Linked DNA regions of Coturnix japonica. The protein of the gene in region 1 binds, or shares a complex with, the protein of each later gene. Links are inferred from orthologs where the notes say so. Each region holds a gene or a part of one and is shown in the gene's direction. Other genes may lie near its edges. The genes, in order: SNRNP40, LSM8, LSM5, AAR2, PPIL2 and CWC22.

Region 1 (3,500 bases):
AGTTTTACAACACAATGTCTTTTCAGCTGTGGGATATCAGGAAAAAAGCTGCTGTCCAGACATTTCAGAATACTTACCAAGTCTTGGCTGTAACCTTTAATGACACCAGTGATCAGATCATATCTGGGGGCATTGACAACGATATTAAGGTATGATGCTTGTGTCCTTGTGCTTCTTTCCAACCACCTTCACCTTTTCCATCCCATCAAAATTTGCTTTAGCAGCACGCAAAATGCCTTGGTCAAGGACAAATGTGGTTAATTTTACTGTCACGAGAACTGCACTGACCCACAGTGTCTTGATCTAAGGCCAGAAAACTCTGAGATAGTTGTTCCAGGGCTGTCTGCCATGTGACTGGCCATGCATCTTAGCGTCACACACTGCCACTGATATGGTATGCAAGCTCTTCTGGCAGCTGGTGCCCCTCACAGAGGCTCTAGAGCCATATATGTTGTACGCTAAAGAAAATTTGGTGACACATCCATGTTCTCTGACCCTTGCTTCAATAACTTACTTTGTCACCTGCTACTGTGGAAAGTTCTTATTTAAGAGCACGCTCAGTGTTCATTCACTTGGTAGCTGAGATTCTCCAGATAGCTTCACAGTTCAGTCAGCCTTGCTGTCTTTTTGGCCTCAGTCTCCAGTCTTACCTAGGCATGGGGAGCACATACTTGTCAGAGGGCCACCACTAAGCGTAGCACTGAAATGATTTCACTTCTAATTGCCCTTTGAATGGCAGTAACTCATAGAGAAAGAACAGCATGAAATTTTGAAGACTGGATAACTGCTCCTCTGTGCCATGGGTCAGTGGAATTTGGGAGCTGAGGGAGCTAGGCCAGATTGAAAGGAAATCCTGCGTACATCAGCTGCTGAAATTTAACTATTTTCTGCTGATGTGGTTGGACACGTTAGGTAAGAAATGGGGGGGAAAATTTGCCCTTTAGAGGACAACACATAACTTTATAGCCTTATATTTTAGCCATTCAGACCTTACCCAACTGCAAGTGGAAAGTTATTCATCAGATGGCTGATCAGTACTTGCATGAAATTGGAAAGAGCATTGCTAATAGTCTTGTCTGTCCATTCTAAGCCACAATTTTGTCTCTGCTGTCTGAAAGGTGTGGGACCTTCGCCAGAACAAGCTCACGTACACGATGAGAGGACATGCAGACTCAGTGACAGGCCTCAGTTTGAGTTCAGAAGGTTCTTACCTGCTCTCTAACGCAATGGATAACACAGGTATGTCCTGCCAAATGTGACAGCACAGCTGTGCAGACAACTGTCAGCCTCTGCCTTTGAAGAGCTGTGTGTGGTATTTCAGAAGGAGCAGCTGAAATTGGTCAATGTGCTAAAATAGGAGAGTCAGGTGGGCGGAATGCAGGCAGGGTCTGCAGAGAAACCTTCAGTTCTCTTTGTTTGAACCGTGACAGTTACATCCTTTGTAGAGAAGGAGCAGCTGTATCAGAAAGGTTTGTCACGTCTCCCAAAGGGCAATGAGGACATGGGCTGTGGCACAAGTTATTTGCACAGGCAGTTGAACATAATCTTGGTCTGGCTTTTGTCAGAGTGGTTCAGCTGCTTCCCTGCAGCAGGGAATGACAGTGCTGTTTCCAGACTGCTCATCTCCTGCGTATGGGTGCTCAGTGAAGCTGATCTGATTAGAAGTATGATCATGAAGTGTATTAGAATAAAGCAAATGCTCATGTGAGGAGACAGTAGCTCATTTGTGTAGTAGTTGTTTTGGAATTTTCCCCTCCTGTTGGGAGTGGTCTTAATGTAATTATAAATTACTGCATTTTACCTTTCATATCACAGCTTCCTGCAGCGGGAGGCTGTTGGTATCCTTTAGCTAAGGAAACGGGCATGAAAAGAACAAGGAATGCAACCAGATCTTTGATCATTAGCAGCTGACCTTGCCCCTGTAGTTCTGGTATCTCCTGCTAATTACTGTGTGCTCTGTTGCAGTTCGCATCTGGGATGTGCGACCGTTTGCCCCAAAAGAGAGATGTGTGAAGATCTTCCAGGGGAATGTGCATAATTTTGAAAAGGTGAGTGTATTACAGACCTAAACACTCATTTATACAGCGTTGCCACATGAACTTAAAGAACAGTTTACAGGGAAGTTAAAGTTTTAACCAGTGAGACTTTAATAAGGACTCGAAGAAACATTAACGCACAAAGTGAGATTCCAATTAAAGCTGTAGTAACAAAATTTCTTTGTTCACTTTGGCTATAATTAGCTGTAAATGAAGTATTTTCTACACATGTTGTATAAAATAACAAGGCACTGGATGTTTCCAACAATAAAACAAAATCTTTAATTACTTGATGAGAATCTTTTGAAGAGGGATCATTAAAGTAGTGCTCTTGATACTTAAAGTCTCATAGTGATTTTACTTGAACTGGAAGGGAAAAGCTAAATCTTCTTCGGAAATGGAACTGTGCCTATTGTTTTGTTTTGTCTTAGAATCTTCTGAGGTGCTCCTGGTCTCCAGATGGGAGTAAGATAGCAGGGGGATCTGCTGACAGGTGAGTTATCACCGTGTTTCTCTGTTACTGTCAATGCCAAACCATTTTTGCAATCACTGCTGAAATGAGCCTGGATAGTCTCTAAAATGAATATGAAGAGCCAGAGTTGTGCATGGAGGTGTGAAGACCCAAACAACCCCCTGTGGTAATCTGTGAGCATTGTCTGCAGCAATGGTAGCAGAGATGTGTTCATATTGCCTTTGCATCAGCGGAGGAGCACTATATGGTTGTAAAATCCTTATTACTGTTGTCAGAAACCTTCTAGAGAGCTCCATTTCTGCTTGTGTTCAGTCACTGCATCCAACAGATGGACAAGCAGATGACGGGAGCGTAGCTGGCAGCATGCGAGGTCTCTTGCAGTCATAGCAGCAGATTCTTGTGAGACTTCTCCAAAGGCAAAGATTCTGGCAGATTGCTGCAGAGTGCTGCATTTTGTGCTGATAATGACCACCAGAATCAGTCAAAGCTAGCAGGGAGCACCAGTGGCGTTTCGAGGATCGTTTGTGATCCTTACTTAATTAACAGGTGTGAGGAAATTAAGTTCTGACTAAATTAGCACATATCTGACTTATTTAAATGAGAGCTTCTGTAGACTGGATAACCAAAGGGTAAACTGGGCAGAGGGAGGAGGGCAGCAGAGGGTCCCTGCCAGACACTGAAGGTCGCCACGAAGGATACCAACCTGCTGGAGCAGATCCAGGTGCACTCTCAGTGACATGGAGACAGGAATTCCTGCAGGCCGGAGTCCAAGGCATGGAACAGCAGTAATCAGCAAATTAATGAGCTTCTGATAGACGACAGGGAGAGCTTTAGCTCATACTGTGCAGATATAGTGGGGCCAGCTGTCACAGCTGGCAGCTGAGACATGACCCTTCTTTCCAGTCCCACTGGGCTGCAGCAGCAGTGCATGAGGTGATGAATACCTGTTCCTTCATGGCTGGTCCCAGTGTGGGCAGCCTGACACGGTGAAG
Region 2 (3,992 bases), on another chromosome or scaffold:
TTTTTACAAGGAATTTCTTCAATCTCCTCACAGTCTGAGCATTACATTAGAGGTTCAGCTTTCAAGGAAGAGTAGGTGTTGTACCTTTCTCCACCAGATCTGACAAGGTTTGAGCTCGGTAGAGTGGTACTGGGCGGGCCTTTCACCCCCCGACGACTCCACAAAGCCATTTCAGCCTTTAGCATGGCTAGGTCTATAAAACATACCTATTTCTTGATAACTAAGGAGAGCAAAGCCACCAGAAGCTGTTGTGTTTGAGGAAATGTAAAAGAGATAAACAATACACAGCAGCAACAGATCATCCACTCATCTGTTCTGCAAGCTCGAGGCTAGATAGCAAGTTTACAGACAGTAACTGCTTGCAAATACACCCTACAAGTATCACTGCAGGCTTTCCTTCCTGCCCTGGCAGAATATGAGGAAGCAGGAAAATAAGCAGAGACACCCCAGGGCACAATTAGTTAGATATATTTTCTGTGGAAAGCATAAAATACAGTAATCACTACAGAAACCTTAAAGTATATAGACTCAATTGCAGAAAAAGGTTTAATTACAGGAGTAAATGTTATTACCAAGTGATAAGCTAGACAAGGACAAGCCTTGTTACAAAGATGCCTTGTTTCTTCAACTACATGAGAGCATAATCACAGAATCACAGAATGACCCGGGTTGGAAGGGACCTCAAGGATCATGTAGTTCAAACCCCCCTGCCTGGCAGGGCCACCAAACATACACCTTTACTAGATCAGGTTGCCCAGGGCCCCGTCCAACCTGGTCTTGAACACCTCCAAGGACGGGGCATCCACAACCTCCCTGGGCAGCCTGTTCAAGGGCCTAACCACTCTCCTAGTGAAGAACTTCCCCCTAACATCCAACCTAAATCTTCCCTCTTTCAACTTAAAACCATTTCCCCGTGTCCTGCTATCATCAGCCCTTTAGTGACACGCTAAGACACAGGTACCGAATTCCTACACCTAAAATCAGGACTCAAAGGATCGGAACCAGTGAGAGAAAACAGATGCTCAAGGCTGCTTATTCACAGCATCTGGGTTTCTGTTCTATGAGAACTCGTAATACAACCAGAGGCCACGACTTCCCTCTGCTGGACAAGCACTTAAACCACAGTTTCACCGCACTTGGTACATCCTGCTCACCCCTCCTCCCTTTGAAGCCCAGTCCCGCCCTCGTGCTGGGGTGGTGTGGCTGCTCAGACGGACGAGCGTCATCGGAGCGCGACGGAAGCGGGGCCGGGAACGGCGTTACCGCTGTGAGGAGAAGCGCGGGAGCCGCCGCCATGACGTCGGCCCTGGAGAACTACATCAACCGTATCCTGCTGCCGAGTGGATGGGCTGCGGGTGGCAGAGAGAGGGCGGGCTGGGTGCGAGTGGTGAGGCCCTGGAACAGGCTGCCCAGGGAGGTTGTGGATGCCCCGTCCTTGGAGGTGTTCGAGACCAGGTTGGACGGGGCCCTGGGCAACCTGATCTAGTAAAGGTGTATGTTTGGTGGCCCTGCCAGGCAGGGGGGTTGGAACTACATGATCCTTGAGGTCCCTTCCAACCCGGGTCATTCTGTGATTCTGTAATTAATTCTGACTCTTGAGCTTATTACACGTGCATGTTACAGAGAATGTTAATGATTCTATTTCAGATATCTCTTATTGCTTCCTTAATGAACTCTTGTCAGGTACTGTCGCAGTAATAACTTCTGATGGAAGAATGATTGTGGTGAGACATTTATTTTGGGGGGCAAAGCAGGGTCTCAGGACACTTTGCAGTTTCTTGGGAGAACAGACAATTTCACAACAAAGTCCTTCCTTCTCTTGCCATTTCCCCAGCTTTTATGGCTGAGCATAACGTCATGTGGTGTGGGATACACTGTGTTCAGTTTGGTTCAATGCTGTGTTCCCTCTTGTGCCTTGCTGCCCCCAGTCTGCTGGCGTTAGGTGGCTTGGATGCTGCCTTGGTGTGATGTTGGTGCTGCTCAGCCACAGCCAGAGCACTGAGGTGCTATTGGCACTGTCACAGTGCCAGGTGCAGAGCACAGCCCTGTGTGGAAGGTTAACCTCCTGCTGTGAGGAAGGTTAACTCCAGCCTAGCCATGCCCAGAATCTAACTGTTCTGTTCATTGACCTTATTTTTAATGTTGAATCTCTGGAGGTTTTGGGGTTGTGGATGCCCCATTCCTGGAGACATTCAAGGCCAGGTTGGATGTGGCTTTGGGTAACCTGGTCTAGAGGTTGGCAACCCTGCACGTAGCAGGGGAGTTGAAACTGGGTGATCATTGCGGTCCTTTCCAACCCAGGCCATTCTATGACTATGAAATTTCCATACAAGGAAGACTAAAAGTTGTACAGTCAGCTGTCTAGAGGAAGGAAATAAAACTTCATCTCTTGTACCAAATAGTGTAGCTTTTAGTATGAGCACTGTATACTTTTTGCTTGAATTGATTACCATTTTCAAAGTTTTCTTCTCCAGCTGTTTGTGTTTAAGACTGACATTAGAACCTAAAAAGAGCATCTGTTCTCTAGTATCTTAATATTGCCACTTTGCTGTTTAAGGTATTGGTGAGAGTGAAGATATAAATTTAAAAGGCAATTAACAAACTTTATTATTGTGTGCTTATCTTTTTCCCCTCAGGGAACCCTCAAAGGTTTTGATCAGACCATTAACTTGATTTTGGATGAAAGCCATGAACGAGTGTTCAGTTCTTCACAAGGAGTTGAGCAAGTAGTGCTGGGATTGTACATCGTAAGGGGTGATAATGTGTAAGTAGAGCATGTTTTTGTTTAAACCAATAAAAAATTTCACTGTGTGCATATATAATATATATATATATTTATATGCATGTGCAGTCATGCATCTTATATCTTCCTATCTATGGATAGCTCTGCTAGAGCTATTAAAGGTGAGACATATGAAGTATCAAGTAACTATGCTTCTCTTGCAAAAGTGATTGCATTGTATTGTTATGATATTGTTGGTCTAGAATACCTGAGTTGTAAATTAACCAGGTCACACAATGATAACAATGTGAAGAAAGGTCAGTATGAAACGCAGCATTTTTCTTCTTTAAGTCTAGGCATTGTGTAGATGTACTTTATTCCAGTCTGTGTATGGCAGAATCTGTTAACAGATGAAGAGAGAAAAGAATGTACATATAATAAGACAGAGATAATGTGCAACAAATTAGCAATCCGGTACACAAAGTTAACTTTTAATAGGATTTATTTAGGGACATTAAGGGAGAATTAAGATAAGCATTAGAGGAAAAGGGAATGCTTCATATTTAAAAAAAAAATGCTCTGAGTTTTAGGCTTGACAGTATAGCAACTGATAGTTAAAACTGATGTAGCAGCAGATTGAGGGGGTAAATTGACATTTGATGTCAAATGCCATGATGCAATGAGCAGAAAAGCTCATTAAATGCAGAGCTGATGATATGGGGAGGCTGTGAGAGCGGTGGAAAGAACCTCCAGTAAATGGGCCTGCCAGGAAGATGAATTTTGCAGCAGCATTCTGAAAACATATATATGTGTATACACACACACACACACACACACACACACACATATATACCAGGAAAAAATATATATGTATTATTTTTATATATTATTATGATTTATATATGCATTTATATATGTATATTCTGTTCTTGCCAGCACAGGTAAGAATTTTTATTTCCAGTTCCAAGGGATATTCATGGGAAGTCACTTTTGACTTTACCCTTATAATAAAAAAAGCTCAGAGGGGGAAGGTTTAGATTGGATGTCAGGTGAAGCTCTTTACCAAGAGAGTGGTGAGGCACTGGAACAGGCCAGAAAGGCTGTGGATGCCCCATCCCTGGAGGTTTTCAAGGCCAGGTTGGATGTGCCCCTGGGCAGCCTGGTCTAATACCAGATCTGAAGGTTGGTGGTCCTGCCCATGGATCAACAAGGAACTTGTTGGTCCATGGGGGTCCCTTCCAGCTCAAGCTGTTCTTTGATTCTATGAAAA
Region 3 (4,142 bases), on another chromosome or scaffold:
AAACTATTTGCTTTCCTGACCACAGCACGGCCTTCCAAAGTAGAAAACACAGTTTCCTCAGGTTTCTAGATACTGCCCAGTCACAGAACGTGGAATGACTGCAGGAGTTTAAATGCCAGATGTAATTCTTGATGTAAGACTTGAAGAAAAGAGTTTGAATACCAGTCGTTTGATTGGATCAAATGGCATTTTATATACTCAGTCTCAAATAAATAAATAAATAAATCATTCCTGCAACAGCCTCGCCAAGATTTAGTTAGAGAGCAAAGGAGGAAACGCAACGAGAGCACAGAATACCTACGAAACACAGCGGGCCTTGAAGACACACTGAGCGCCGGTAACGCACAGCTGTTGGGTGGCCCCGTCCCCTCCAGACAGCCCCGCGGAACCGCTCCAGCCCGACCCCGGGCCCCCCACAGCCCGCACCGGCGGGGGATCGCAGCAAGGGGCTCGTAACCGGCCCCCAGCCCGCTGCAGGCAGCGCCCAGCCCAGAACCAGAGGCACGCTCCCGGGGCCCAGCGCTCACACCCCTCACCTGACAGCCCTTCTTATGGTGGAAGCCCACTACCACGATATGCAACACCGGGCCCCGCGGAGGGGCGGCCGGCGGCGCGCCCCGCTTCTCCATGGAGCCCGGCGATGGCCGCTCCGGAGGATACCGCCCAGGCCGGGCTGTCGCTCCGCCTCCTGGTGCCGAAGGCCGAAGGGACGGACCCCAACCGACTGCGCTTCCGCAGAGCCCGGCGAGGGGAGGCGGAGCGGGGCCGCCCTCTTCCCCTTCGCCCTGCCCCCAGCCGCGCTGTGTCCCGGCCCGCCCCGCCCTCCACTCTGTGCTCTGTGCGGTGGGCGCCGAGCGGGAGCGTGCGATGAAACTGATATAGGAAAGTGCTTGGTTTTATTAAAATTAGATACATTAGGGGGCAAAAGATAGGCTATAAGGAACAATCCAGAACTAGCAAGCGAATGATAAGAAGGAAGGGTAGAGCTGCAATCAAGCAGAAGCTCTTAGAAATAAAAGAATCCTGCTGGAATTTTCTTTCTCAGTGTATATCTAATAGATACCAATAAAAACTCAGCCATATATACCAGAGCTGCTCTCAAACTAACGCCTCCTGTTTTATTATGCTGGCCCATGACATCAGAGGTGGATGTTGGTATGGCAGTAGGGGCTACACCTTCCTGCCGTTATATTCCATTATACTTTGTTGCCTTGTGACCGATGGCAGCAGAAGGGCAGTCAGACAGGCTGCCACCTGACATGGCAGTGTGTATAAACAGGAGCGGAACTGAATTCCCATTGCGGTCGGAGCCCAAAGGAGAACACGGCGGTAGAACGAGCGCTCTGCCTGCCGCTACTCAGGGCTGCGTCCCGCCCGCCACAGCCTCTACTTCCTCAGGAGGCGGCAGCCATTGGCCAGCTCTGGCGGCAATATGGCGGCCAACGCGAGCACCAACCCCTCGCAGCTCCTGCCGCTCGGTGGGCAGCGCTGCCGGCGGGTTCTCGCGTGGGCTCGGGCGGGGAGGGAGGGAGGCTGTGACCGGGGTGGGAGAGGCTGCAACAGGGGCTAAATCGGGATCTATGAGCGAGAAACTAAATCGGGATGTAACAAAATTAATTCACCCCTCTTCGTGTTGAGGGAATACGTGCTCCGGGTGTAGCGTTGCTGTTGTTTCCAGTCGGTCGGAGATGATGGAGGGTACCTCTGGGCTGATTGATTTCCTGCAAATACACTAATGCACTTTTGTTGTTTTTAACATCTACAGAGCTTGTGGACAAATGTATAGGTTCTCGCATTCATATCGTGATGAAGAGCGATAAGGAAATTGTTGGAACTCTGCTAGGATTTGATGACTTTGTCAGTATCCTTTGGTGGGTGTTATCTGTGGCCATTAGCTTCATGGGGAAAATCATTTCGTTTATTGTTAAGAACATTAAGCTGTTTGGTATCGGTTTTTTGCTCGTTAGTGGTTTTTGTTTGTTTTTTTATCGCTAAAATCACAGTTTGGTGTAAAATAAATTGCCCATCTCTATACTGCCCTTGTGAGGCCCCCAGCACAGGAAGGATGCAGAGCTGTTGGAGCAGCTGCAGAGGTGGGCTGTGAAGATGATCAAATGCTTCTGTTGCTGGAGGTGTACAAGGCCAGGCTGAATGGGCCCCATGGCAATCTGATCTAGTGGGTGCAGCCTACCAGCAGCAGGGGTTGCTCTGTATTTGGAACTGGGTGGGCTTTACAGTCCCTTCAAGTTCTATGAAAAGAAATCTGGGCCTTATTTTCCTTGAAACTGAGCTTTCAGATATGGTGTTAGAAGATGTTACAGAATTGTAAGTATTATTTTTGTCTCTCATTGCTATTCAGACTTGGGTTTCCTGAGAAAGAATGCGGTATAAGGTCTGTGCTATCACAGATACTTATAAACTGAGCAGTTTTGAATTGTTATTGAAAAAAATGCCAAGTTTTAGAGGGCAAATCTGTGTCTTTATATGCTGAACAAAAAAATACAGCAAATCTGTTTAGTTGCCAGGTAGCTTTCCCTGCCTAGTGGGTCAGTGCATCAAGATGATGTTGCAGTGTTATTTCCAGTAAATGTCATCTTAATATGTGGACTTGCATTGGTGCTGTAATCAGAACTTTATTCATTGTTGATGATTGCATGCTCATATTTTTTTTTCTAATATTGCTTCAGTGAGATCACACCTGAAGGCAGAAGAATCACAAAACTAGACCAGATTTTGCTAAATGGAAATAATATAACAATGGTAAGTCATCACTGTAAATAGTCTGCTTGTGTTTCTTTACCTGTAAATCTGATTGAATTCAACTACTTGAGTAGTTTCTAAGGCATATGGTTTATGAATGATGCTGGGAAAGTGATCTTATTGCTATATTTCATATATTTTATGGTTTAAAATGCATGAAAAGAGGAGCATGGGCATGACTATAGTTTTGGTATATGCTTTTTTGGTTTTCATAAGGTGTGTGAGGGAATCTTTGGACGAGTTTGGTTGACAAAGTGGCTTTTGACTCATGAGTGTCTGTGTAAGTCTGTGGGTTGGGATACATCTGCAGTTCATCCATTATGTATAGGTGTGTTTGCAGCAGCTCAGATACTTATAAGCTTGTTAAGTTACTTGACTATTATTAATCATTATCATGTGATGCCGGATGCTCTGGAAAAAAATAATAAGGTGGAGTTTTGTTGGACTATAACAAATCAGAAGCACTTTCTGGTTGTTACTCGCTGATGTGTATAGATCAGTACTGAAACAATACTGTAGTTAGTTGAGCATCACTAAGTGAATTCTGCATCTTTGTAGATACTTTACCACAAAAGCAGACTCACAGTACATCATTTGCTTTCCTGCACAGATGGGTGCAAAATCTGGACTTCCTGCATAAGGCAGTTCATGATTTTGTTAACAAGACAAGTGGAAGGCTGACTTGAGTCTATCTGTTCTGTGTGAATGGGGAATAATCCCCATATTGCTATCTCACCCTTCTGAGTAAAAGCTATTTTGACTTAATTTCAAAACCTTTTCTTGCTTCGGTTATTGTTCTGCATCTTTAATGCATTGTGCATGTTCTGACTTCTTGTGTGGGTAAAATAATTATTTTATATTATTATTATTTATATTATTTTAACAAAGGAGTTCCTAAAGAACATACATTTTTTTGTCCTTGTTACTCATTCCAAGGTGAATCTTGAAATTCTACAGTTTGTTTTTAAGAGCATTTCAAGAAGCATTTCTTCAACTGATTCTTCTCCAGACCATTGTTATGCTGAGAAGCTTTTTTGCTCTTCCTGACTTTTAGTGATAAGCAAAGCCGCTATATGTATACATGTAAGACCAAACCTTTCTATAGACAGTAGGAAACAAGCCAGCAAAGTATTTTCCTGTGAATAAAAGACTTAAGAGTAAATATAAAAGGAAATATTAAAAAGGTAAACAAAGGTAAAGGGGAAAAAAGATAAAAATCATTTATATTTTCTTAATAATGAACAGCACACTTCCAAAAGAGAAAGACCCAGGGTGCTTTTGAGTCAGATTCAGTAATTTTATGGCACAGTTGTAACATGTGCCCTTAAAAAAGGCGCAGGATCTCCAGTCAGAAGCATGGCTGGGTTTTGCTAAATATGCGT
Region 4 (4,267 bases), on another chromosome or scaffold:
CGCTCACTGTTCCTCGGCACACTGTGGTTTATACTCAGAGGAGCTCACATGGCCTTCATACTCTTACAGCCACCCGCTGCTACTCTGAAGCTAAGGCACCTGCTTTTGGCATCACCTGCACAGTTATCAAAAGGAAGGTTACTGCTCAAACTAGTGGCCTTATACAGTTAGAGCTGACCTGAGCGTGGATTCAGACGAGTTATATTTGGAGTGAGCGGACCCCATTCTGTGGTTTTTACAGCTTGTTTAATGGGCGACAGCATTTCAATTAGAAAACGACAATAAATAAAAGCACCAACAAACAAATAGGATGAAACCAACCTGCCAGGCTGGGGCAGCTCAGCATGGTGTGTTTTCTTCCAGGGGCCTTTCTGCTGCAAGGGGCGGGAGACATGAGTGCCTGTTTTTACCCGATCCCACAGATTTATTCCAAACCTGGCCTGCAATTGCATGAGTGATAGTAACAGTAACAATAACAATAATGTTTATATTTGAAAAGCACCTTACCAACCAACTGCAGTGCTCTGCTGTTCCTTCACTAACTCCCCTTTTCCCTTATTCTTCTTCTCCCCCCTCCAGTCATGCTCCTTTTCAGTGCTCGGTGGTGTACGCGTGTGTGCTCACTGTTCTTGTATTCAATAAAAGTGAAATAAATGTGTTTGAGGCTAAACCAGCTCTGCGGCCTTTTCAGACTCCTTCCCACCAAAGAGGATGCGCAGATGGGGACAGGGGCTCCATGCAGGGGCTGCATAGCGGGCTGTCCCCCATAGGTATTGTACGTGGTGGTTGGTGGTGATGCTGCATGGCTGTCCTGCCGTGGGCTGTAGGGTCACCCTTTGGGGTTGGAGGTTGCCATTTAGTGTCAGCGTTAAGCGGGTCACCATTGTTGGTTAGGGTTGGGTATTAAGTGTTACCTTTTGGGATATGTTTGAGGGCTACAGCTTAGGGTTAGTATTAAGGGCTAAGGGTTACCCTTTTGGGAGATGGGTTGAGTTACCCTTTTTGGTTAGAATTGAGGAGTACGGGTTAATATTTTGGGCTATGGATACGGTTACCCTTTTGTGTTAGCGTTAAGCATTCAGGTTTCTCCTTTTGTGTTAGGATGAAGGCTCACTCATTTGGGGTTACAGTGAACGGCTTGGGGTTACCAGTTTGGGCTACCAGTTACCCTTTTGTGTTAAGGCTAAGTATATGGGCTATCGTTAAAGGTTACACTTTTGGTTCATGGCTAAGGTCCCCCTTTGGGTTGCGGTTGAGGGTTACTCTTTCGTGTTACTGTTAATCGTGAAGGATTACCCGTTGGTTAATGGGGGCGGAGGGCGACCGCTTCTGTGTGGAGACCGGACGGAAGCAGAGGTTCGGCTGTCGGGGCGTCACGTCGAGCGGCCGCAGCGCAGCGGGGCTCCCCGGCCTCCGGGACCGCGCGGAGGCGGAACGAGTTGCGGCCCGGAACGTTCGTGCGCGGCGCATGGGGCGGCCCGGGCGCAGAGCGGAGGAAGGACCGCGCGTTTCCGGCCCTGTCCGCCCGCCGCGATGATGGCGGGGCTGCGGGCCGACCCGGAGCTGGCCAAGCGGCTCTTCTTCGAGGGTGCCGCCGTGATCGTCCTGGGCGTCCCCGAGGGCACCGAGTTCGGCATCGACTACAGCAGCTGGACCGTGGGGCCCCGCTTCCGCGGCGTCAAGATGGTTCCGCCCGGGGTGCACTTCGTGCACTGCAGCGCGGCCCGGTCCGCCGGCGGCACTGAGACGGGACCGCGGGCCGGGCTGTTCCTCTGCCTGCGGCCCCGGCAGGTGCGCGCCCTGCGCTGGGAGCCGGGCAGCGAGGAGCTGCGGGACGCGCCGGGAGAGGAGGAGGCGCTCGGGAGGGACCTGCGGGACATGGACGCGTTCCTCGGGCCGTACCCGTACGACACCGTGAAGAAGTGGATCGCCCTCAGCAGCTTCGTGGGCGAGGCGGCGGTGGAGCGGCTGCGGCCGGAGAGCGGGCGGATCTGCGCCTTCTCCGAGGTGCTGCCGGTGCGGGAGGGGCGGCTCGGCCGGGACCGCGCGGGGCAGAAGCTGCCGCCGTACGACGCGGGGTGCGGGAGTTACGCCGAGGGCGTGGCCAGGCTGCCCGAGATGCGGCCCAGAGCCGGAACCGAGATCCGCTTCACCGAGCTGCCGCGGCGGACGTACCCCGAGGGAGCCAGCCCGGAGGAGATCACCAGGCACTGCATGGACCTCAGCTACGCGCTGGAAAACGTCATCGCGCGGCGCTACGCCGGGCGGCCGCAGGACCTGCTCGGTGAGTGCGCGGCGGGGACAGCCCCGGGCGGAGCTCCGGCCGTGGCCGTGCCGGGGGGCGGGTGCTGAATGTGGAGGGGCCGGGAGCCCGGCTGGGCTGAGTTGTGAGCGTTTGTTTTTCACGTGGTCTGTCGTGTTACACGAGTCATTCGTTATCAGAATTCCTGCGGGCGATTGGAGGGGAGGCGAAGGTGATCGCATCGGGTGCAGGTAACAATCTTCAGAGCCACCGGTTCTGGCTGGTGAGAAGCGCCTGGCGAGGCTGAGTCCTGGCTCTGAAAAAGAGACAAACACTCGTTGCTCACAACCTCCGTTGTTCTCATCCCTGCGTCTGGGGGCAGCGCCTGCAAGCCGTGGTACAGGAGGAGGTGAACGCCTGCAGGGCGCCGGCAGTGGCTGTGTGCAGGTCTGTGCACCTGTGAGTGTTGCAGGTGCTCCTGTAGCTCCTCACTCAGTGCCAGCAGCACCGCCCTGCAGAGCTGGCAGCCACAATTAGGAGCCCTGCCCGGTTACACTGTGCTTTCTCTCCAGATGGGAGAAGAGCAGAGCATTAGGAAATAATCGGTGTTGGCAGTATTGATCGCCATTTGCAGAGTCACTTAGAGGGCTGAAGGTTGTTTATATGCCCAAGCTAAACCTACAGTTTATGCAGTCATCTGCAGAGCTTTTTAGAGGATGTGTGCCTTGGTTATACCTCGGTTTACCTGTTTTGTTTTGTTTTCTGAATACCTGCAGCTGAGTTGCAGTTTGCTTTTATCTGCTTCCTGATTGGGAATGTATACGATGCATTTGAGCACTGGAAAAGACTGTTAAACATCCTGTGCCGTTCTGAAGCTGCCATTGCAAAGTATCAGGACCTTTATGCCAATCTCATCTTTGTCCTGTACCACCAGTTGAATGAAATCCCGTCTGATTTCTTTGTGGACATCGTCTCCCAGGACAACTTTCTGACCAGCACCTTGCAGGTACGGCTGTGCGTTCTCTTGATCCATGGGAGTCAGAATGCAGGGCATGCAGGGCATTGAAACAGATACAGAGAGAAGCTTCAAGAGGAAGTAAGCTGCTGTTGAGTCTGCCAGAGATAGGGAGCCTGTGTCCTCCGTGAGGGCACACTGACATTTCCTTTTACTTTTTCCTGGCGTTGCTCACACAGAAATGACCTCTCTTGTCATCTATGAGCTTGATCTACCAATGCACATCGAGCATTTATTGCCTTCAGCAGATCAAGCATTTAAAGCACCGTGGACTGGAGTTGGTCCGCACGCACGTGCCAGCAAAGTGAGGTATTGAGGGGAGAGGCTGTTGACAGCTGCAGCACAGAGTGAGGCCTGAGTCTTCTCTATTGTGTTTTCCTTGAAGATAGCACTGACCGTGATCTGGTCCATTGGTGCAGGTTTGGAGTTCTGGAGTGGGACAACTGACGTGACTGGGTGGAACCAGCATGTTTGTTTTAAAAGTGATCTGGGCTTTCAGCTGTGTGAAGCTGAACATCTCCGAGAGGGGCTGAGCGAGTGCAAAGTGGTGTCTGTTTGTTGATCAGTTTTTTTCCCCTCCAAATACCATTCGTTTAAAAACACGTGGCTTGGTGTAAAAGAGTGGTGGTGGTTTCTGATCAGCTTGGATGGTGTGCTCAGCCTGCAGGGAAGTTGCAGCTAAATCTTACTGAGCTGAAGGTATGGATAACATATAAGAAGCCTTTCTGCTCCTGCCTGCTTTATGCAAACGTGAAGGTTTCCTGAAATCAGGTTGTTGTTTGTATGGGATTTATGGTCAGTCCAAACAGCAGAAATACACTGCTGGTGCTGAGACAGGCAAGGGCAAACCTGTAAGTCACTCCCAGTCACTGCAACTGCTGATAGATCAGCAATACTGGAATAGGCTCCCCAGGGAGGTGGATGAATCTCCATCCCTGGATGTGTTTAAGAGCCATTTGGATGTGGTGCTCAGGGATATGATTTAGCAGAGGGTTGTTAGAGTTAGGGTA
Region 5 (3,500 bases), on another chromosome or scaffold:
GGCTTTTTTTTGATGCAGACAGCTTGCAACATAGCATTAATACACGATGCACTATTAAAATACTGACATTGCCGTTTCTGTTATTTCCGTGTTTAGATTCTGTTGTCATTAATTTTCCTCATGCTTCATTTTCTTTAGAAACTAGATGCCAAGTCCCTTATAAAGCTGAATTTTGCTAAGAACAGTGAAGGTAAGTATGTTAACTTTCTGTTCTTGTTGGCTTGTTTCTTTCTTAATGAATGCTGCAATAAATCCCGGTTTGCCTGACTCCCAGTGAAGTGTCATAGAATCCTCTCTGCTCATGCTTGTCCAGCAAAATGTTATCAGGTATAGCAGTCCCTTCCACTTCATGATCCCTTTTTGGTGGAGCTCAGCATCACCTCAGGCTCTGTGCTTTTGCTAGGAGTGGCATCGTGGTGGTTTGTTCTTTTTGCATGTAGCTGGAGCAAGGCCTTGCATTCATTGGTGTCTTTGTGCACCCGTCAACTGGGCCGTACCCCGCTGCCTCTCCTAGATGGCCCTGTTTAAACTTTCTCCTTAGTGTGTCATTCATGTTCAACTTAGTGACATCAGCAGAAATAGTGCTCAGCTGCTGCTTGCTTCTCCACGTTGGAGATCAGTGCCTCCTCTGGACAGTCCCTTGATCGGTGAATACTCTGCAGGTGCTTCCCTTCCTGTCCCTGCAGGTGCTGTGAGCAATCTCTGTTCTGGCCTCCCTGCTGGTTTGATTTTCAGATGGTAATTAGGACAAAAAGAACAAAACGGGCCCAACCTATTTCAGAATCTCACCCAAACACTCAGGTCTAGCAAAATGATCAAGTATTGACAACATCCTTTAATTGCTTCTGCGGAGCTCGTCCCATCGTTTTTCTTTTTCCTCCTACACTGGCTCCCATCAGTGTGCTTGTTATTGACATGCTTAATATTTATGTTGACCCTCCTGGGGAAAATTCACAGCTTGGTGCGAGCAGAAGCTGCGTTCCTTATCGAATAACGTGCTCAGATTTAATGGCATTCTGCTTGCCACATTCAAATGCAAAACACTCCTCTCTGAAAGCACAGCAGTTGCTATGAGCTTTCATTGGGTGTGAGCTAAACTTCACTTCTGGGAACAACACCAAAAGTAGAGTTCTGGGTGTGTTAAGGTACAGGCCCATGCTCTCAGCAGAGCTTTAATTACAGCAATAATGGTTCTAATGTGATACTTCATTGATACCGTGTGTGTTGGACAAAGCTGTGCTGGGAGACTGAGGGCAGCACGTTTCAAAGCTGCTCTTTCATTGCTTGGTTTATAATTCTCTGAAGTGTCACTTTTCAGTTTTGTTTCCTCTTTGGCTCTGAAGAATCAAAGCACAGTTGAAGCACCATTACCTACACTCTGAATTTACATTCAGTGTTAGAAAGAAATGTGAATGTCCTTTGCAGAAAGAACAGAAATCAGCTATTTTGAATTAGTTGTGATGGCTCCATGCTAAATCCACCCTTTTTTCCTGTCCCTCAGGTAAATACCACTGCCCCGTGCTGTTTACTGTATTCACCAATAACTCCCATATTGTGGCCATCAAGACAACGGGAAATGTGTTTGCCTATGAGGTATGTTGTCTGTCACGTTTTGATATGAGTCATTTACACTTTAGAATGGTAGGTAGGCTTTGTTGTGTCTTACAGCCAAGGAAAGGAAGAGCAGGGAGATGGACTGGCCTCACAAACTGCTGGCTGACTTGTGGTCGATGTCAGCCCTTTGTTAAAGCCACCTGTCTCCTACCGTCTGTGAAATACTTATCCTAGAAAATTCAAGGATTTGGGGTTTATTTTGGCAGTACTTCTGTGGTGAATTTGGTTAAAATTGTTTTTAAAAACACAAGGAAAACCCGATGACTTTTGTAGGGATTGAATGGCTTTTCATCTTCAAGCATGCAATGAAAACATTGCAGCTGCCAGTTAAGAAAGAAGTGCACAATTATTTTATCGTAGCGCTTTGTGAGTGGCATCGTGTATTTACTTGCAGTGTGTATGTATTAGAATTCATTTGTTCATACCTGTATCTTTCACCGGGCTGTCAGGCAGTTGAGCAGCTGAACATAAGGCCAAAGTGCTACAAGGATCTCTTGACAGATGAGCCCTTCACCCGGCAAGACATTGTGACACTGCAGGTAAGCTGCTCTCTCCATTACGTGTCTAATAATCCAGGTGGTGTTGCTGTTCTTTTCTCAGAAGGTGGAACGTTATGGATATCCTGTATTTGTGCTCTATCACTGAGTGAGTAGAGAGGCATTACTCTGGATTTGTTCCTGCAGAGGAGGGCAGAAGGGGAACTGCTCTGTTGTCTTTATTACCCAGACGAGCCACAAAGATATTGTATAACATAAAGGCTGATGCACCTCTACACTGACTTCTGTGTGCCTTGTAGATAAGTAGAATGCTGAACTTTAGAAATTAAAAAAAAGGGGATGGTGCACAACAAATGTCAGGGATGGGATGTAATGTGAAAAGGTGAATTTGGGCAGATGCTTTTGCAGTTGTTTGCTCGCTGTTTCCCTGAATACAAGATGTGTGTAATCACAAGTTTTAATTCACATGAGTGAATAAAAAATATTCCTTTGTGTCAGGATAGAGAGCTGAAGGACTGTGAGCAGATAATGGAAATATTCACTCATCTAAAGATACTTTGATACGTTTGCGAGGTTCAGGATTGAATGTATACATGCTCTTCTCAAATAAGATCAGAAAAAGCAAATCTGTCCTTATTTTTGGGGTTGGACTGGAAGAGATTCTGACCATTTTCCATTGAACTGTATGACGCCTGCTGCCAACCTGCAGCCATACCTCAATTTTTCTTGTTCTACTCAAATGCCACCCAAATCCAATGCGCAGAACACGACCTGAAATGGTTTGGCTCCTGGGTGTTAAAGTATCTCTGTGTATTTGGTGTAAGAACTTGCTGTGATTTTCTTCATGTAAATTGTCAGGAGACAAACCAGCATCTCCTTCCTCAATCCTCTCGCTGTCAGCATTGTGTGCAGTGTGTTGGCTTCGCCCTGCCAAGCTCTGCCACCTGTGGCTTTGGTTCTTGGCCAGACTTGGTGACTGCAATCTGTTGTGTTTCAGTTTGTAGCTCCAGAGCTCTGTCCCAAATCCTCCTTCTCTTACAAAAAACAACCTTTCGATTCTTTGGCGTTTATTGTTTTTTGGTTTTCCCATTGCCTCCTGTTCGCTGAGTGCTGTGGTGTCTGAGGGCGCTGGGATTGGGAGTGAATGGGAAATGCTGACCCAGCTGTCTGTCCGAAAGATAAATATAAAGAAAGTTGCTATAAAAACGTCCTTTGCTTTGCAAACAACAGCTGAATGGGACTGTCTGTAATAGCTTTGTTTATCAATAGAAAATGATGTTTCCAGAGTCTGACTGTGAGTGCTGCAGGAAGCAGGTGAGGTACCTGTGCTGGGCAGTGCAGCAGATGATGGATGGGAGATCTGAGTCATGTATGGTCACAGATTGGGCC
Region 6 (3,213 bases), on another chromosome or scaffold:
TTGCCTGGTCTTTCTGTAGGAAGTCAATAAAAAGATGATGATGCATACAGGCTTTAAGAATTCGGGCATCACTTCCAGATAGATAAAGGATAAAAGCCTTGCAAGTGTCACAGTTACAAATTAGTAGATGAGGGGGGAAGCTTGATTGTTGGAGTTTTGTCAGTACATAGCATGTAAAATATGAAGGCATTTCCTTCACAGCCTACATGTTATGTCAGATTCTTGTTCAACACGTCACTCTTTGGGTTTGAGTTACTCCATTTATGTGACTGCTTAGTAATACTCTGTTTTCAAGTGCAGGTTTGTTTGTATGTTCTGTAAGTTGAGGAAGAAGTTTGGTTTCTGTTAGAGCTGGAGCAATGTGTCATGTTCTTGATAACTGCGTGGTCATGGTAAATAGGGTGAAATGTGGAAGACTTCCACAACATCATATTTTCTTGTTTTTACTGTTGTGGATGTGGTGTAACCTTGCTTGTTGTTCTCGTGAGGTTCGTGTGTTAGTAACAGTGAAGGTGCTGATAAATGCTGAAGCATAGACTAATAATGTAGCTCTGGGCTTGTTAATCAACTCACACTTCAAGGGAGAATTTCTTTTCACATTAAAATATGAGGCCTGTAATTCAACCAGATAAATGGGTGAATTTTGTCCCATTGCAAAAAATCCTTGGTTGATGGGGGGGGGGATAGAAGCAGAGCTCATATTTTTGTAACTTGCAGCCAAATGTATAACAACGAAAGTTGGAGTGTTTTTCCACTAATGTGTTTCTATATAACCTTTGGTGTAGCTTAATGAATCAAATAGTTGATTAAAATAGAACCTTATTTCCATAATTCGTTGTAATTTCAGATGCTTCCAAAGCCAAAAGAAGAAGAACACAAAAGAAAAATAGAGAATCTGATAAAGCTTCCCGGAAAAAGCAAGAAAAGAAAAAGAAATCACTTGAAAAGAAAATGGGAAGGCGACGGCAAGAGGACAGAAGTGATAGTGAGAGCAAGTCAGAAAGAAATCACCGAAATATGAGAGAGGCATGTAGGAGGGATGATACATCAAAATATCATCACAGGGATGAATCTAATGGCAGAGGTGATTACGAAGTGCATAGGAGAGATGACGTATCAAAATACCACCAGAGGGATGAGTCTAATAGCAGAGACGATTACCATAGTGGAAGGGATAGGAACCACGAGAGAAGTAAGGATCTAGAAAATAAACACAGTAATTCAAAACTGAAGAAAGCAGAAAGAAGAGCTTCTTTTTCTGACGATGAAAGTTATAGACATGGGAACAGAGATAATGGACATCGGAGTAGAAAAAGGGAAAGATCTAAGTCTGGAGAGAGATCCTATAACAAGTCAAGTCCAAGGGAGGAGGAAGAAGACCACCGATACAGAAATGGCTCAGAGAGACTCAGAGAGAAGTCCAACCATTACTCTGACCAGTACAGAGAATCAAGAAAATATGAGGATAGACGAAGGGAGAATTCCCCACACAGACGAAAATAAGACCTAAGCAGTTTGAAATAAATGTGTATTTCTGAGCTGTTAAAACTGTATTTTAAAAAATATGACTAAACTTTCTTTAAAAAAGATTTTGTACAAAGTGGTAGTTTGCATTTGTAAATTTTATCAGACTTTTTCAAATTTTCAGTACTGCTTTTTTATAACTGTTACTTTGAGTCTTTCTGTTGAATTCATCCTCTGGGAAGATGAAGTTGTTTATTTTGTGAATAAAACAGTTAAGATCTCAGCAAAATGGGTGTTCTTGTCACTTAATTTCAAGTATTTGTAACTTTCTAGTACAAAAACATTGCGTTTTAACTTTGGTTAATTGAAGATCAGAGATGCTGAATCTAACGTAATGAATCTAAGAATCTCAGATGACGGTATCGATGATGCATGGGAAGGCTTTTTAAAAGGAATTGAGCATGAGCACTGTGCATTCTACAGTTATATTCTTTCATCTTCATAAACGTGGAAGTAAGTTGGACCAAAATTTTTCAGGAAAACCTTCGTTTATTTTTTTCAAGAGTTAAAAATCAGAACAGCAGTTTTGTTATTTTAAATGTCACATTTTGAAACTGTGTCAACTTGTTCTGTGTTACTTTTCACAGTGTTTTTTAATGTTGTAACATCCTAAGCCAGTGATGCTTGTGATCTTGGAGGAAAAAATGTTTTCAACTGTGAATCTGATTTGAAGTAATTTGTAAACTTCAGGTGTATTTCTGTGGGAAATGTTTAAGGAATGTCCTTCCTGGTATATTTTAAAAACAGTGAAACAAAAGATATTAAATCTTTTTATATGCTTTGAACTGCATGGCTTAAAGTGCTCAAATTTACTGGAAGCAAAGTTTTACTAAAAAAACAACACCTGAGCAGTTTATAGTATGGAAGTTGTTCTGTGTAGAATCATTTGAAGAACTAGTGCAACATTCATTGTTTGACTTACAAATCTGAATTGTGGTTAAGATTTAATGTCATCACTAACAAAGGCAAATTCAGAAAGTCTTTTGGCATGATCAGCGTGGCCATGGTCAGTAGAAAAGGCAGGAATGACAGTTATGTATAACCCAACTGTTAGTGCCATAAAACCTTTTTTTTTCCCTTTGCAAAATGAACATAATTGTTGGGCACATGAAAATATACAGATTTCATGTGTACGTTGTATTTCACTGTATGCAGAAGGCTATAAAAATACACTTGAGCTGTTCTATAACAGCAAATAGAGCAATTCCTAAGGAAATAGATTAGGTTGGGGTAAGTTGTCACAACATCTTTTTCTAAGAAAAATGATGCTTTGGATTTCTGTTCTGTGTTTAACAGAATTTGTTTCTGCCAGTTTTCATGCACTGAAATGTTTTCAAAGATACTAGCAGAGAAAATAAAGAGACACTGCAGAGAAAAATGAACGTTTCTGTTGTGTTGCACCACACAGCCATAAATGCTCTAGTGGTATCATGAGGAATGTCTTATTTAAATTCTGGTTTTGTTTCTATTCCCAGTGCAGTTCTCATTTTTCCAGGCTAACTGTGTGTTTTTGGTAGTGTACTTTGATTCCTAGAAAAGTTAATTTGAAGTAATTCTTTTTAGAAAGATTTGTGCTAGAGATTATTGTTTGTTTCTTAGCAATCTACTAAGGGTATTAAAAATTACCTGTGTTTCATAATTGTTGTGTTGTATGAGCTTAGCTAATTTAATGAGAGTAACCCTTCCCTT

The links.
Region 2: SNRNP40 (region 1) and LSM8 share a complex: the UniProt entries of both Homo sapiens proteins name them as parts of the U4/U6-U5 tri-snRNP complex. The link is inferred for Coturnix japonica from reciprocal best matches to the Homo sapiens genes SNRNP40 and LSM8.
Region 3: SNRNP40 (region 1) and LSM5 share a complex: the UniProt entries of both Homo sapiens proteins name them as parts of the U4/U6-U5 tri-snRNP complex. The link is inferred for Coturnix japonica from reciprocal best matches to the Homo sapiens genes SNRNP40 and LSM5.
Region 4: SNRNP40 (region 1) and AAR2 share a complex: the UniProt entries of both Homo sapiens proteins name them as parts of the U5 snRNP complex. The link is inferred for Coturnix japonica from reciprocal best matches to the Homo sapiens genes SNRNP40 and AAR2.
Region 5: SNRNP40 (region 1) and PPIL2 share a complex: the UniProt entries of both Homo sapiens proteins name them as parts of the minor spliceosome. The link is inferred for Coturnix japonica from reciprocal best matches to the Homo sapiens genes SNRNP40 and PPIL2.
Region 6: SNRNP40 (region 1) and CWC22 share a complex: the UniProt entries of both Homo sapiens proteins name them as parts of the minor spliceosome. The link is inferred for Coturnix japonica from reciprocal best matches to the Homo sapiens genes SNRNP40 and CWC22.

Annotation. Positions count from the first base shown.
Region 1 is NC_029538.1:602,876-606,375, reverse strand, and holds part of SNRNP40 (U5 small nuclear ribonucleoprotein 40 kDa protein), read left to right. Parts: intron 1-26; coding exon 27-149; intron 150-1,118; coding exon 1,119-1,239; intron 1,240-1,965; coding exon 1,966-2,048; intron 2,049-2,467; coding exon 2,468-2,529; intron 2,530-3,500. UniProt on the Homo sapiens protein: Required for pre-mRNA splicing as component of the activated spliceosome. Component of the U5 small nuclear ribonucleoprotein (snRNP) complex and the U4/U6-U5 tri-snRNP complex, building blocks of the spliceosome.
Region 2 is NC_029516.1:21,853,723-21,857,714, reverse strand, and holds the start of LSM8 (LSM8 homolog, U6 small nuclear RNA associated), read left to right. Parts: upstream 1-1,192; 5' UTR 1,193-1,294; coding exon 1,295-1,325; intron 1,326-1,683; coding exon 1,684-1,724; intron 1,725-2,636; coding exon 2,637-2,764; intron 2,765-3,992. UniProt on the Homo sapiens protein: Plays a role in pre-mRNA splicing as component of the U4/U6-U5 tri-snRNP complex that is involved in spliceosome assembly, and as component of the precatalytic spliceosome (spliceosome B complex).
Region 3 is NC_029517.1:78,884,366-78,888,507, forward strand, and holds the start of LSM5 (U6 snRNA-associated Sm-like protein LSm5), read left to right. Parts: upstream 1-1,342; 5' UTR 1,343-1,432; coding exon 1,433-1,478; intron 1,479-1,765; coding exon 1,766-1,861; intron 1,862-2,297; coding exon 2,298-2,325; intron 2,326-2,687; coding exon 2,688-2,760; intron 2,761-4,142. Other genes in the region: late secretory pathway protein AVL9 homolog, read right to left, coding at 537-629. UniProt on the Homo sapiens protein: Plays a role in pre-mRNA splicing as component of the U4/U6-U5 tri-snRNP complex that is involved in spliceosome assembly, and as component of the precatalytic spliceosome (spliceosome B complex).
Region 4 is NC_029535.1:173,929-178,195, forward strand, and holds the start of AAR2 (protein AAR2 homolog), read left to right. Parts: upstream 1-1,467; 5' UTR 1,468-1,533; coding exon 1,534-2,284; intron 2,285-3,018; coding exon 3,019-3,248; intron 3,249-4,267. UniProt on the Homo sapiens protein: Component of the U5 snRNP complex that is required for spliceosome assembly and for pre-mRNA splicing.
Region 5 is NC_029530.1:477,567-481,066, reverse strand, and holds part of PPIL2 (RING-type E3 ubiquitin-protein ligase PPIL2), read left to right. Parts: intron 1-138; coding exon 139-190; intron 191-1,501; coding exon 1,502-1,593; intron 1,594-2,063; coding exon 2,064-2,153; intron 2,154-3,500. UniProt on the Homo sapiens protein: Has a ubiquitin-protein ligase activity acting as an E3 ubiquitin protein ligase or as an ubiquitin-ubiquitin ligase promoting elongation of ubiquitin chains on substrates.
Region 6 is NC_029522.1:13,114,576-13,117,788, forward strand, and holds the end of CWC22 (pre-mRNA-splicing factor CWC22 homolog), read left to right. Parts: intron 1-847; coding exon 848-1,503; 3' UTR 1,504-2,713; downstream 2,714-3,213. UniProt on the Homo sapiens protein: Required for pre-mRNA splicing as component of the spliceosome. As a component of the minor spliceosome, involved in the splicing of U12-type introns in pre-mRNAs. Promotes exon-junction complex (EJC) assembly.